Callithrix jacchus: one gene and its partner. Each later gene encodes a partner of the first gene's protein in a complex. Links are inferred from orthologs where the notes say so. Each region holds a gene or a part of one and is shown on either strand. Other genes may lie near its edges.

Region 1 (5,785 bases):
AGTCAGTAATTTAACTGTATATTTAAAAATAACCAAAAGTATAATTAGATTGTAACACAAAGGATAAATTCTTGAGGGGGATGGATACCCCGTTTTACATGACATGATTTTTACACATTGCATGCCTGTATAAAAATATCTCATGTACCCCATGAATACATACACCTTCTATGTACCCACAAAAATTAAAAATAAAAAGGCTGGGCGCAGTGGCTCATGCTTGTAATCTCAGCACTTTGGGAGACCGAGGCAAGTGGATCACGAGGTCAGGAGAATATCCTGGCCAACATGGTGAAAGCCTGTATCTACTAGAAATACAAAAATATTAGCTGGGTGTGGTGGTGTGTGCCTGTAGTCCCAGCTACTCAGGAGGCTTAGGCAGGAGAATCGCTTGAACCCGGGATGCAGAGGTTGCAGTGAGCTGAGATTGTGCCATTGCACTCCAGCCTGGGGGTGACAGAGTGAGACTCTGTCTCAAAAAAAAAAAAAAAATTAAAATTTAAAAAGTTAGAATTTTGGAAGAAGTGATTGTGACTGGCTAAGGAATCCTTAAAATGGTTTAAATTAAATAAAGTAGAATATGATAGCTAGGAAGCTAAAGAGTAGTCCAATAATTCGTAATACCAAATTAAGTAGCCATTGCCCTCAGACAGATTTTTTTTTTTTTTTTTTTAATACTGAAACACCAACAAAATGGCAAAAACAGAGACTAAATTAGCTGGTAGGGCTAGAAAACACTCAGAAGGGAGTTGAATTTTTGGGAAAAGTCATTCAGTGAATTAGCTGCTGGCAAATGGTCCTGGAGCCCCTGCCCTGCAGACCCTCAGTGTGGGTGTGTTAGGGGGCAGGGTAGCCTTGGTCTTTGGGATGGGCCGGACAGGTCAGGGAGGGTCCAGGGACCGCTAGGGACTTCTCTGTGTTCTATTATCTTTGCTGAGCCTTGTTGGGGCAGATGGCCCTACCAGAAGCCAGGACCTGGGGCAAGAGGTCACAGAGGTACATTCCTGAGACCCTGGGGGATGGTGTCTCCCTGTCCAAAGCTCCAAGGAGCTGGACTCAGCCAGGAGGGGCTGAGAGGCTCCTGGGATCTTCACAGAAGGGGAGGCAAGTGGCATTGCTGAGCCTCTCTAAACTCTGTTTCCAGTCTGTGAATAAGTGACCCCATCTTCCCTGTGTTTGAGTAAGGTGTCTAATACCACTTAACAGCTGCAAGATTACTGCCTGCCTCCAGAGCATCTTCCCGAAGGCCTCCACGGGGAACTGGGAGCACTGGGGTCAAGGCTGGGTGGGCTCCTCCAGCTCTCAGTGTGCCCTGGGCCCCAGCATCCTCCTCACTCAAAAGCACCAGCTGGAACCCTTGCAATTGCAGAAAAGACCAGTCCCCTCCCTTGCACAGAGAGCTCCCCATGAACTCAGATCCCGGTACAGCTCTGCAGTCTCCCACAGATGTCTTCTCAGAGTTGGGGCCCTGGGGCCTTCCCCCTTCTCTGCACCTGCTCTCCCCCATTCCTTCCCTTGAATTACTGATCCCCATCCCCGCAATGCTGCCCACCTCCCACCAGACTCCCCCCATCCTGTCAAGGGCTCTCACACCTACACATACTTCTTCTGGGCCCATTTACTGAAACTTGTGAACATAGACTCCTTCCTTTCCTACCAGGCCCCCTTCTGGGCTATAAACTCCACAAGAGCAGGAGCTAGATTGGCGTTCAGACTCTGGGTCCTCCCCGTGGTCAATCTTCCTTAAACACTGGATGAATAACTGAGAAGCTGGGCCCTCCTGGGCTGCCTTCCCTCCCTACTGCCTGCTTTGGGTCCCAGAGTCTCAGGACCCAGGAAAAAGTCCCATTGCCATGAAGGCTCAGCGAGAGGAAGGCTGGGCTTTGGCATCAGAAAGACCGAGGTTTAGTGCTTTCCAGCTGGGTACATGCTGAGGGGCTGTGGGCAAGTAACTGGTCTCTATCGAATCCGGGATCCTTGGGAGAGCTAGGGGTAGGGCCAGGGATGACCCTGAGGGAAGCTGAGCCCATGGTGTTGCCGTGAGGATCCCAGGGCACCTCTGGAGCAGCCAGCAGAAGCTTCCTGCATCCAACCACCTTGGGTGGCTGGGCAGCGTGGCTCCCAGAGGGATGGCTTGAGGGACAACCCTTGCCCCAACACTCGGATCTCCTGGAAGGCACCTATCTAGAGAACAAGTGGGAGAGGGCAAGAGAGCTCAAAGCCCAGGACATCTTGCGGAGTGGATGGTAAACCCCCGTGCAACCTTCACCCATCCCAATTGCAGTCTGCAACATGAAAAGGCTCAGCAGGTCTAGGGGCCATGTTCCTATCAGACACTGACCGCAGCTCAGCATGGGACCTGCCTCCCACCTCTCTCCTCCACCTGGCCTGGCCCCCAGGAGGGTGGGGACCCTTGTGTCATCATGCTCTATCTGTGGTGCCTGGCACGAAAGCATAGCTGGCATTCACTGTGTGCTCGCACCACATCAAGCGCATGATGCTGAGTGCTTGTATTACCTCAGCGCTCCTCACAGCAACCTGTTCAGTAAGCACCGATGTCATCCTCATTTTACTGATGAGGAAACTGAGGATTCGAGTAACCTGTCCAAGGTCACACATTAAGCAGCAAAGCAGGGATTTGGATCAGTTTTCTTGGCAAATATCTGTCAAAAGACTGTTGAATGAAGTATTCTCTTTATGCATATAGGGACACTAAGCTCCAGAAAATGGTCCCCAAGGCTGCTCTGTAGTGGAGTCAGAACAGGGACAGGCCTCTTAGCTTCCACTCTGGCTCCCTTCCTCAAATTGTGAGGCCTAAGACAGGTCACCCTCCCACTCTGAGCCTCTGTTTCCCCATCTGTAAAATGGGCAGAGGGCTGAAGGTGGACCATTCCCACCAACCTCTCCCCTACTTCTTCAGCTCTCTCTTGGTAGCCACTCTGCATCCCTTCACCCCACCTCCCATTGGTGGACCCTGACTCTGGGCAAAGGCCCATGGTGTGGCTGGCTGAAGCTCAGTCTTGAGAAACCCTTGGAGAGGCTGGTTCTCCCAGAAACCGCTTGGCCCTCATGGCTCGTCTGGTACTGGGGGCTGCCTGATTTCAGGCACTGAGAGGAGGGGTGGAGACAGGGCAGCAGGCGCAGAAGGCAGCTCTCTGTGGGTCCCTCGGGGGAAGGGTCAGAACTAAGGGTGGGCTGGGGAAAGAAGTCAAGGAACCTGCAGGAGAGATGGAGGGGGGATCGTGGGGGAGGGGAGAGAAAGGACAGGAGACAGGGAGCTTCTGGCCCTGAGGTAGCCAAGTTCTGGACGCTAGGGTGTCACCCCAGAACCCTCCGCTTACCCACAGCGGTCTCCTGGTCTCATCCTGGCTGGCCTCACAGTTTCATCTTCCCTTCCCCTGCCCCCTCACCCAGGCATGGGATCCCCAATCCAGTCCAGCCACCAGGCCCTGAGACCCCTGCCCCCAGTCCTGAGTGCTGGGGGCTCGTGCTCCTGGCACCCACCTTGTGGACTCCCACTCCCTGCACTTACTTGGAGCAGCGGTGGGAGGAGGCAGAGCAGGCAGAGGAGGAGGTGTGGGACATGGAGGAGGCCTGGAGGCTCTGAGGGACCCCTCATGCCAGTAGCGGCTGGGGGTTAGGGATGGAGCCCGCTACCCGCAGCAGTGGCCACACCCCGGCCAGCCCCGCCCCACCCAGCCCTGAGGGGAGGCCAAGGTAAGGCCCTGGACACGAGGGGGTATTCTCCACCCACCTCTCCCACAGGGCCGCGATGACCCCGCCCCACAACCCATAGCCTCCAGGTTATTTATAGCCAGTGCCCGACAGCAGCTGCTACCCTGCCAGCCAAGGGGCAGTGCGCTTCCTCCAGCCTGCAGAGAAGGGGTTAATCCCTTCCACCTGCCACCAGCAGTGCTCGGGGCTGTAGCTCCCCAGGTGGGAGACAGCAATTGAGAAAGGGAAGAGTGGGTCCCAGGCGGTGGTCCCTGCTTGAGCACGGCGCTGAGCCCGCACTGCCTAGCCCTTACCTGGGGAGCTTTTATCAGGGGTTAATGTCCACTGGGAGGACTCAGCCAGGAATGTGGATGCTGGGGTATATAGTAGCACTGTGTCAATGCTACAGCTGCCCATTCTGTTGTGGGTGGGCGAGACAATGCTCTTGTTTTTGGAAAATATGCATTTAGGATTAAAGGGGCACCATGTTTCTAACGTATTTTCAAATGGTTCAGAAACACACTCACATAGATAGATATATGGATAGAACAAGAGAGCAGATGGGGCAATATGTAAGTTGTTGGTAAATCTGGAAAAGGGGTATATGGATATGTTTTGGATCCTTCTAACTTTTCTATATGTTTGAAATTATATCAAAATAAAATTCTTAAAACAACAACAAAAAAACCCCCAAACCAACAGCAAATACAGCTGTGGCAGGGATCACCCAGAGATTCAGATGATGTAGCTTGGGATGGGGCCTGGGTGTCTGGGTGTTTCAGGAAATGGCTAGGGATCCTGATGTCAGGTGAGTGAGCAGTGCTGTTCTCAGGGGGACAGGTCCAGCCTGGGGCTGGGTAGGGCTCACGAGCTGTTCCTGTCAGGTGGGTCTGGTGCAGGGGGTTTAAAAGCTTAAGCTGCGGTTGCACCTCCCTTGTTGTTAGGATCTGAGGGGAAAGCATGTGAGGAATGTGATTAGGGGGGCACCAAGCTTTCTCTCGGAGGTGCAGGCAGTGTGAGGAGAGACCTTGGCAAACTCAGTCCCAATTTAAGTAATTCAGACGCTCTGTGCTCCTGGTCTCCCTGTCTGAGACACTGGACACTTTTCTCTCCTTCAGTGCCCCCTCCCTATCCCCAATGCCTTCCTCCAGGCAGCCTTCCTGGCTGTTCCAGCTCCTGCCTCCCTCTCCTGTGAAATCTCGCAGGTCTGAGTCTGAAGTCCTGCCTCTCACTGGTGTGGACTGTTCTCTAAGCTCGGCGAGGATGAGGTTGAGTGTGGATTTGCCCCAACCTTCCCCTCCTCATTTTCTCTTCCCCCTTCCCTCCTCTTTTGTACAGAGCTTAGTCTCAATGGTACAGAAAAATCTTTATGGGAAAAGTGGAGGAAGAATTGACCATATTTCCCAATTATTTGAAGGTGGCAGGATGAAAGTGCCATCCCAAGTTCTAGAGCAGGATTTGGCTTTCCTGGACCCAGCCAGATGGGCTTGGTCAGAGATTGCTCCTTATAGAAAGTGGATATTTCCTATAAAACACCATAAGGTCAGCAGGACTCTGAGGGCTAGGCAGACTCTGAGGGCTAGGAGGACTCTGAGGGCTAGGCAGACTCTGAAAGACGGCTGGGACAGTTCCACTCAGCAGCCTTCAGCTGGAGGTCTCCAGGGACCAGCCTTACAGCAGGCACTGAGAGCAGAGGCCAGCCTTAGAGTGTGCAGGCGGGCATGGGAAGAAGTGTGGGGAACCCATGAGACCTGGGCATCCATAACTGAAGGGAGGTGGGACATGGCACAGGCACTGGGCCAGCTCAGGGGAGTGAGAGGGCACTTCCTGGGAAGGTGCTGCCGGTGCATCTTGAAGGGTTTAAACAGACTGAGGAAGGGAAGACCCTTACTGCCAATGGGAAGTCTCCTGAGCAGAAGCAGGGAGCAGGGTAAGTGCTGGGGTCCTGGCCAGGTGAGGCAGGCTGGAGGGAAGCCAGATTCTCTGCAGCTTTAGGAGGTTCTGGGTAGCAGTAGGGGCTCAGCCCAGGTTCCTCTCTGGGTGGGGTGTTCTGGGTGCCTGTCTTAGCTTG
Region 2 (5,874 bases), on another chromosome or scaffold:
CTTGACCTAGTGATCCACCCGCCTCGGCCTCCCAAAGTGCTGGGATTATAGGCGTGAGCCACCGCGCCCGGCCTGAATACACAATTTCAATTTCACATTGTGGCTCAAGAGGAAGTATCTGGCTTGGTCTGAGGAGTCAGGAGAAGTCTCCCTGAGGAGCTGATGTTTGAACCAAAACGAAGAGGATACCCAGAGGTTTGCCAAGGATGCCAGAGAGAGAAAAGCGTTTCCCGTAGTCAGCAAGGTGGTCGGAACACACTTGTCTTTACAAATTCCGGTGGTCACTTCCATTTCACCTGCAAAAAATAAGGATGAAGACGTGGCCAGGCGCGGTGGCTCATGTCTGTAATCCCAGCACTGCGGGAGGTCAAGGTGGGAGGATCACTCGAGGCCAGGAGTTAGAGATCAGCCTGGCCAAAATGGGGAAACCCTGTCTCCATTATAAATATAAAAAATTGGCTGGGCGCTGTGGCTCACACCTGCAGTCCTAGCACTTTGGGAGGCCAAGGTGGGTGGATCACCTGAGGTCAGGAGTTCAAGACCAGCCTGGCCATCATGGTGAAACCCCATCTTTATATATATATATATATAAAAATTAGGTTGGGTGCAGTGACTCACACCTGTAATTCCAGCACTTTGGGAGGCTGAAGCGGTGGATCACCTGAGGTCAGGAGCTCGAGAGCAGCCTGGCCAACATGGCGAAACCCCATCTCTAGCAAAAATATACAAATTAGCAGGGTATGGTGGCACATGCCTGTAATCCCAGCTACTCAGGAGGCTGAGGCAGGAGAATCACTTGAACCTGGGAGGTGGAGGATGCAGTGAGCCGAGATCATGCCCCCTGCACTCCAGCTTGGGTGACAGGGCAAGAGTCCATCTCAAAAAAAAAAAAAAAAAAAAAATCCCCTGAGTAGAGTTAGTTTAACGGGCTTACAACAGTGCCTGGTGTATACAGTAGGCATTCCATTAATGCTTGTGCCTGTGCTGGAATGCCCGATTTATACCTGTCTTACAGTAGGTACTCTGTTGCTAATGATTGTGCCCTGTGTGGTACACAGCAGTTGCTGCATTGATGCCTGGCTCATACCTCATATACAGTAGGAACTCCACTATTACTTGTGCCCTGGATGACCTACAGCAGGTGCTGCATTAATACTTGGTCCGTGTCTAGTACATAGCAGGCACTGCATTAATGCCGGGTTCATACCTGGCATACAGTAGGCACTGCATGAATGCTGGTGCCCTGGATCCCTCTGGGGTCAGTCCCCCCGCCTGTGCTGTTCACATTGGTACCTGGGACCCTCCCGGGTGGTCATGTGCTATATGCCAGGCACCTCATTCATATCTGGCTCATACATCGTATACAGTAGGCACTCCATGAATGCTGGTACCCTGTACGGTAAAAGCAGGTGCTGCATTTATGCCTGGGTTGTGTCTGTTGCTCCATTAATTTTTAGTCCATGCCCGGTATATAGAAGGCATCCCATTAATGCCTGATACACAGTAGTGCCCCACTAACAATTTTTTTTTTTTTTTTTGAGACAGAGTCTTGCTCTGTCTCCAGGCACCAGGCTGCAGTGCTGTGGCGCCATCTCGGCTCACTGCAGCCTCCGCCTCCCGGGCTCAAGCAGTTCTCCTGCCTCAGCCTCCCGAGTAGCTGGGACTACAGGTGAGCACCACCACGCCCAGCGAATTTCTGTATTTTTTTGGTAGAGACGGGGTTTCACCATGTTGGCCAGGCTGGTCTCGATCTCTTGACCTCGTGATCTGCCCACCTCGGCCTCCCAAAGTGCTGGGATTACAGGCGTGAGCCACCGCGCCCGGCCCCACTGACGCTTTTTAACGGATGAGAGAAGGTTCCTGTTAGGCAATGTGAGGGCGCTTCCCGGGGGCAGCGACGGCTGCCCAGGAACCTAGAGACCCAGAGAGCGCGGCAACCGCTTGCACCTCTCTCCTTCCCGGCCTGGACCGAGCGAGCCGAGCCGAGCGGGGCCGAACGGGACCGAACGGAGCCGAACAGAGCCGAGCCTGGCCGGCTGAGTCCGCCACATTCCCACAATCCCGGGCGGCCCCGCCCCGGCTCCCGGCTGCGCGTCCCCCCTTCCCACGTCGGCGCAACCAAACCCGCGGGCCCCCCGCCCTCGCCCCGCCCCGCCCCTTTCGCGCCCGCTGACGCCCCGCCCAGGCCGTTATTCCCGCCCCAGCGGTGGGCGCGCTTGGCCGCCGGCCCCTCCCATTGGCCGCAGCGCCTGCCCGTCACGGGCTGCGCTCCCAGCCTGCTAGGTTGTCCGGCGCTGTCGCTCGGTTGCGGCGACTGCGGTTGGCGGTGGCTGCGGCGGCGGCGCGGGCTAAGTGCGGCCGCGCGGGAGTCCGCGTCTGGCGCGGCCCGAGCGGGGACCCGGCAGCTCGCAGGCAGCGGCCGAGGCGAGGCGGGGCGGGCCGGCCCGGGGCGGAGGGCCGGGGGCCGAGGCCGAGGCCGCGGGGCCGAGGCGGACGGCGGCCGAGGCGGCTCCGGCCAGGGCCGGGCCGGGGGCCTGGGGGCCGGGGGGCGGCGGCGGGCAGGCGGCCGCGGCGGCCGGGGCCGGGACGATGACTCTGGAGTCCATGATGGCGTGTTGTCTGAGCGACGAGGTGAAGGAGTCCAAGCGGATCAACGCGGAGATCGAGAAGCAGCTGCGGCGGGACAAGCGCGACGCCCGGCGCGAGCTCAAGCTGCTGCTCCTCGGTGAGTGGGGCGTCGGGCCTGCCCTGCCCTGCCTGTGCCGTCCGGGACCCTCCGGGGTCAGCCCTGCCTGTGCCGTCCGGGACCCTCCGGGGTCAGCCCTGCCTGTGCCGTCCGGGACCCTCCGGGGTCAGCCCTGCCTGTGCCGTCCGGGACCCTCCGGGGTCAGCCCTGCCTGTGCCGTCCGGGACCCTCCGGGGTCAGCCCTGCCTGTGCCGTCCGGGACCCTCCGGGGTCAGCCCTGCCTGTGCCGTCCGGGACCCTCCGGGGTCAGCCCTGCCTGTGCCGTCCGGGACCCTCCGGGGTCAGCCCTGCCTGTGCCGTCCGGGACCCTCCCGGGGTCAGCCCTGCTTTTGCTGTCTAGGTCGGCAGCTGGGACCCTCCGGGGTCAGCCTCGGGGGCCCAGATTGTTTGTGGTCCGCTCCTTTGTGCCTTCACCGTTCCTGTTGGCAGCAGGGACCTTGGGGGGGGGGTCTGCCCTGTCTGTCATGTCGGGATCAGGTCCCCATCCCTCCCAGGTCAGCTCCCAGTTTGCCGTCCACGTTGGGCAGGACCCTTCAGGATTTGCCCTCTGCCCCTTTTCAAGAGACCAGTCCCCTTGCTGCACAGGAGCTCTCTGATCTTACCTCGCCGACTACCCACCCCTCGCTACCCCCGCCCCCCCAGCATCTCAGGGCCAGAGCTTTGGGATGTCACCCACTGGTCTCATCCACCTTCACCTCCCAGGGTCCCGCGTTGACCCTTCCCACCAGGCAGAGCCCTGATCCCTCCATGCAGGTCCCGTCCACCCCCTCGAAGACTCCTCCGCGCCCCTATCCCCCATTCCCTTAGGGGCTGTCCTCCTGCCTTCCTACTCCGGGAAATCCCATCCTCCTCTAGGCTGGAATCCGCCCTGTGGGAACAAGACCGTCTTTCCTCTCCTCAGGGTTCTGCTCAGCCGAGGGTGGGGCGGTTGACACCTGAGGGAGCCTTTGCGACTTGTCAGAAGCAGCCACCTCGGCAGCCTCCCCCGCCCCCTTCCTTAGAGTCTTGGTGGGAGCCACGTGCAGCCCTAGTGGGGAGCAGCCCCCTACATCCCGGCTCCTCCCCACCTTCCCGGATAGGATTTACGCCTTGTGCCTCCTTCTCCCCAAGGCACACCTGCTGCAGGAAGCCAATCAGGCCAGCTGTAAAGTGTTGTCACCCAAAATAAGGGCCCTTGCAGTCGTTTACAAAACATAGCCCTTGCCCGGCCCCACCCTCGCCCTCCTGAGCTCCTAGGTTAGCTCCTGAGCGGGAGGGGTGGTGGGGAAGGTCTGAAATGCATGCAGAAGCAGCGGTGATGGAGGAGGAGGGGGCCCTCCAGGAAGGAGACAGGTCACTTGTTTCTCGGGGAGCAGACTGCCTCTCCTGCCGTGACCCTCCGATGTCCCCCGTTAGAGAGGTGCCTTGAATGAAATACCTTCCTGATTTTTTCCCCCCCAAACTTGTGTTTTGATTTACCTAAGGGTTCTAAAATGGGCCATCTTTCCAGGGGATTCAGGTAGGCAGAGCCGTGTCCCTAATGCTTGGAGGAAGTGTGCAGGGGGCCTGCATGGTGGCACTTTGGACAGAGTGGCACTGGCTGGCTTTTGCCGTGGGTCGTGGACTTTGTGTAGATGGAGGGGAGTTAGGAATTGCTGGTGTCATAAAGATCTTACCAGACGGCCTTGCCCTGTGGCTCTGTGACCTCCAGAACCCCCGCTGCCTTTCCCGCTGCACCCAGGCTTCTGTGCCTGCACTTTGGACTTGAGATTGACACCAGGTTCAAGGACGAAGGTCAGGGGCCCCCACGTCTGCAGCCTTGGCTACCTGGAGCGAGTCTGGGAGTAATGGGACCCATCTTGCATCCTCTGTCCGGTGCCCACCTGTGGCCCAGGGGATGTCCGCCGTCCCACCCCTCTGTGTGAGCCTGGAAGTTGAGCCCATCAGCCTGTAAGATGGGAGGTTGCTGTCAGGCTCAGGCCAGGCGGGGCAGATAGGACAATGAGGAAGACGGGAGCTCACATGCAACCCAGGAAGGACAGGTGTCAGTGCCAAGCAGAGGGCCGGGGGCTGCCGGGGGTTGGGAAGACTTCACACCTGACGTGGTGGGGCCAGGAAGCCCTTTGGGAATCTGCTGTGAGGACCCTCAGGAAACTCCTATCCAAGCCACCTTGCATCCCAGCCGGAGAGTCCCTGGCTTCGAGGGCTTTGACCACCAGATGTCGTGGGGCTGGGGTCCGGGTACAGGGGAGAGGATCTCTGCCAGGCTCCCCGCCTGCCTGTGGGAACTCACTCCACTTTCGCAGTGCGCCAGCCCCGAGCTTGCAATTGCCCCGTTTTTTAGGGAGCAGCTGGAGGGTGAGGCCGAGGCTCCCCGGGAGGAAGGGCTGTTGGGCCGCAGCAGGTGGTTATGGCGCCCGCGCCCCACAGAATGTTGAGACCTTTGGGCGGAGGTCCTGGCGCTGTGCAGGAGGCCAAGCCCAGCCGGGCCTGCTTCTCCCTGGAATTCTTTCCTCCCCTGCCCCTTTGTGGTGGGGCTCCAGCCCTCCTTCTCCCGGGTGGCTCCGGTGCTGCGCTGTGGAGTGGATGTTGGGGAGGCAGGGGCCTGCCACCCTGTGGCATCTGGGCCCCGGGAGGGTCTCGTGTGTGTGGGTGGTGCTGGTTCCTTCCAGGCTCGGGCCCGCAGGGCTCTAGGGTCCTGCCTGATGCCTGGGTTTGCAACCAGGAGGAGCGTGTTCTGCAAGAGCGAGGTGTCCACGAGCTCTCGTCAGCTGCCTTACGGGGCTGCACACGGCCTGTGAGGACTTTCCATGCCCTATTTCTGGGTGTGGAGGGACCGTCTGGAGCCCTGGAGCTGGACGGGGCTCTAGCAGCCGTGCCTCCTCTCCCGCACTGGTTCCCATGTGCTGTCCACGCCTCCGACGGCCTCTCCGTTACACACAGCAGGTCTCCCACGGCCCTGTGCACAGTGGGGTGGGGCTGCCCTGGGCACCGCAGGGCGCTGATCAGCATCCCAGGTCACCACCCACTCTGTGCCAGGAGCTCCCCGAAGTCATGATAACCATGATGTCTCCAGACGGGGCTGATCGTCCCTGGGGCGCACATTGCCCCGGTTGAGACTCTGCCGAGTGGTAGCGTACAACGTAAGA

The links.
Region 2: the proteins of CRHR2 (region 1) and GNA11 are in contact, whole or in part, in a cryo-EM structure (PDB 7TRY), measured with the Homo sapiens proteins. The link is inferred for Callithrix jacchus from reciprocal best matches to the Homo sapiens genes CRHR2 and GNA11. Residues at the interface, in NP_001874.2 of Homo sapiens: Arg148, Tyr208, Leu209, Ala212, Ile213, Thr216, Glu220, Lys293, Lys307, Ala311, Phe358, Tyr359, Phe362, Asn363; in NP_002058.2 of Homo sapiens: Arg37, Ile348, Leu349, Asn352, Leu353, Glu355, Tyr356, Asn357, Leu358.

Annotation. Positions count from the first base shown.
Region 1 is NC_133512.1:27,553,060-27,558,844, reverse strand, and holds the start of CRHR2 (corticotropin-releasing factor receptor 2), read right to left. Parts: upstream 3,694-5,785; 5' UTR 3,620-3,693; coding exon 3,533-3,619; intron 1-3,532. UniProt on the Homo sapiens protein: G-protein coupled receptor for CRH (corticotropin-releasing factor), UCN (urocortin), UCN2 and UCN3. Has high affinity for UCN.
Region 2 is NC_133523.1:2,863,182-2,869,055, forward strand, and holds the start of GNA11 (guanine nucleotide-binding protein subunit alpha-11), read left to right. Parts: upstream 1-2,281; 5' UTR 2,282-2,589; coding exon 2,590-2,725; intron 2,726-4,546; exon of another isoform or gene 4,547-4,726; coding exon of another isoform or gene 4,727-4,769; intron 4,770-5,757; exon of another isoform or gene 5,758-5,874. UniProt on the Homo sapiens protein: Guanine nucleotide-binding proteins (G proteins) function as transducers downstream of G protein-coupled receptors (GPCRs) in numerous signaling cascades.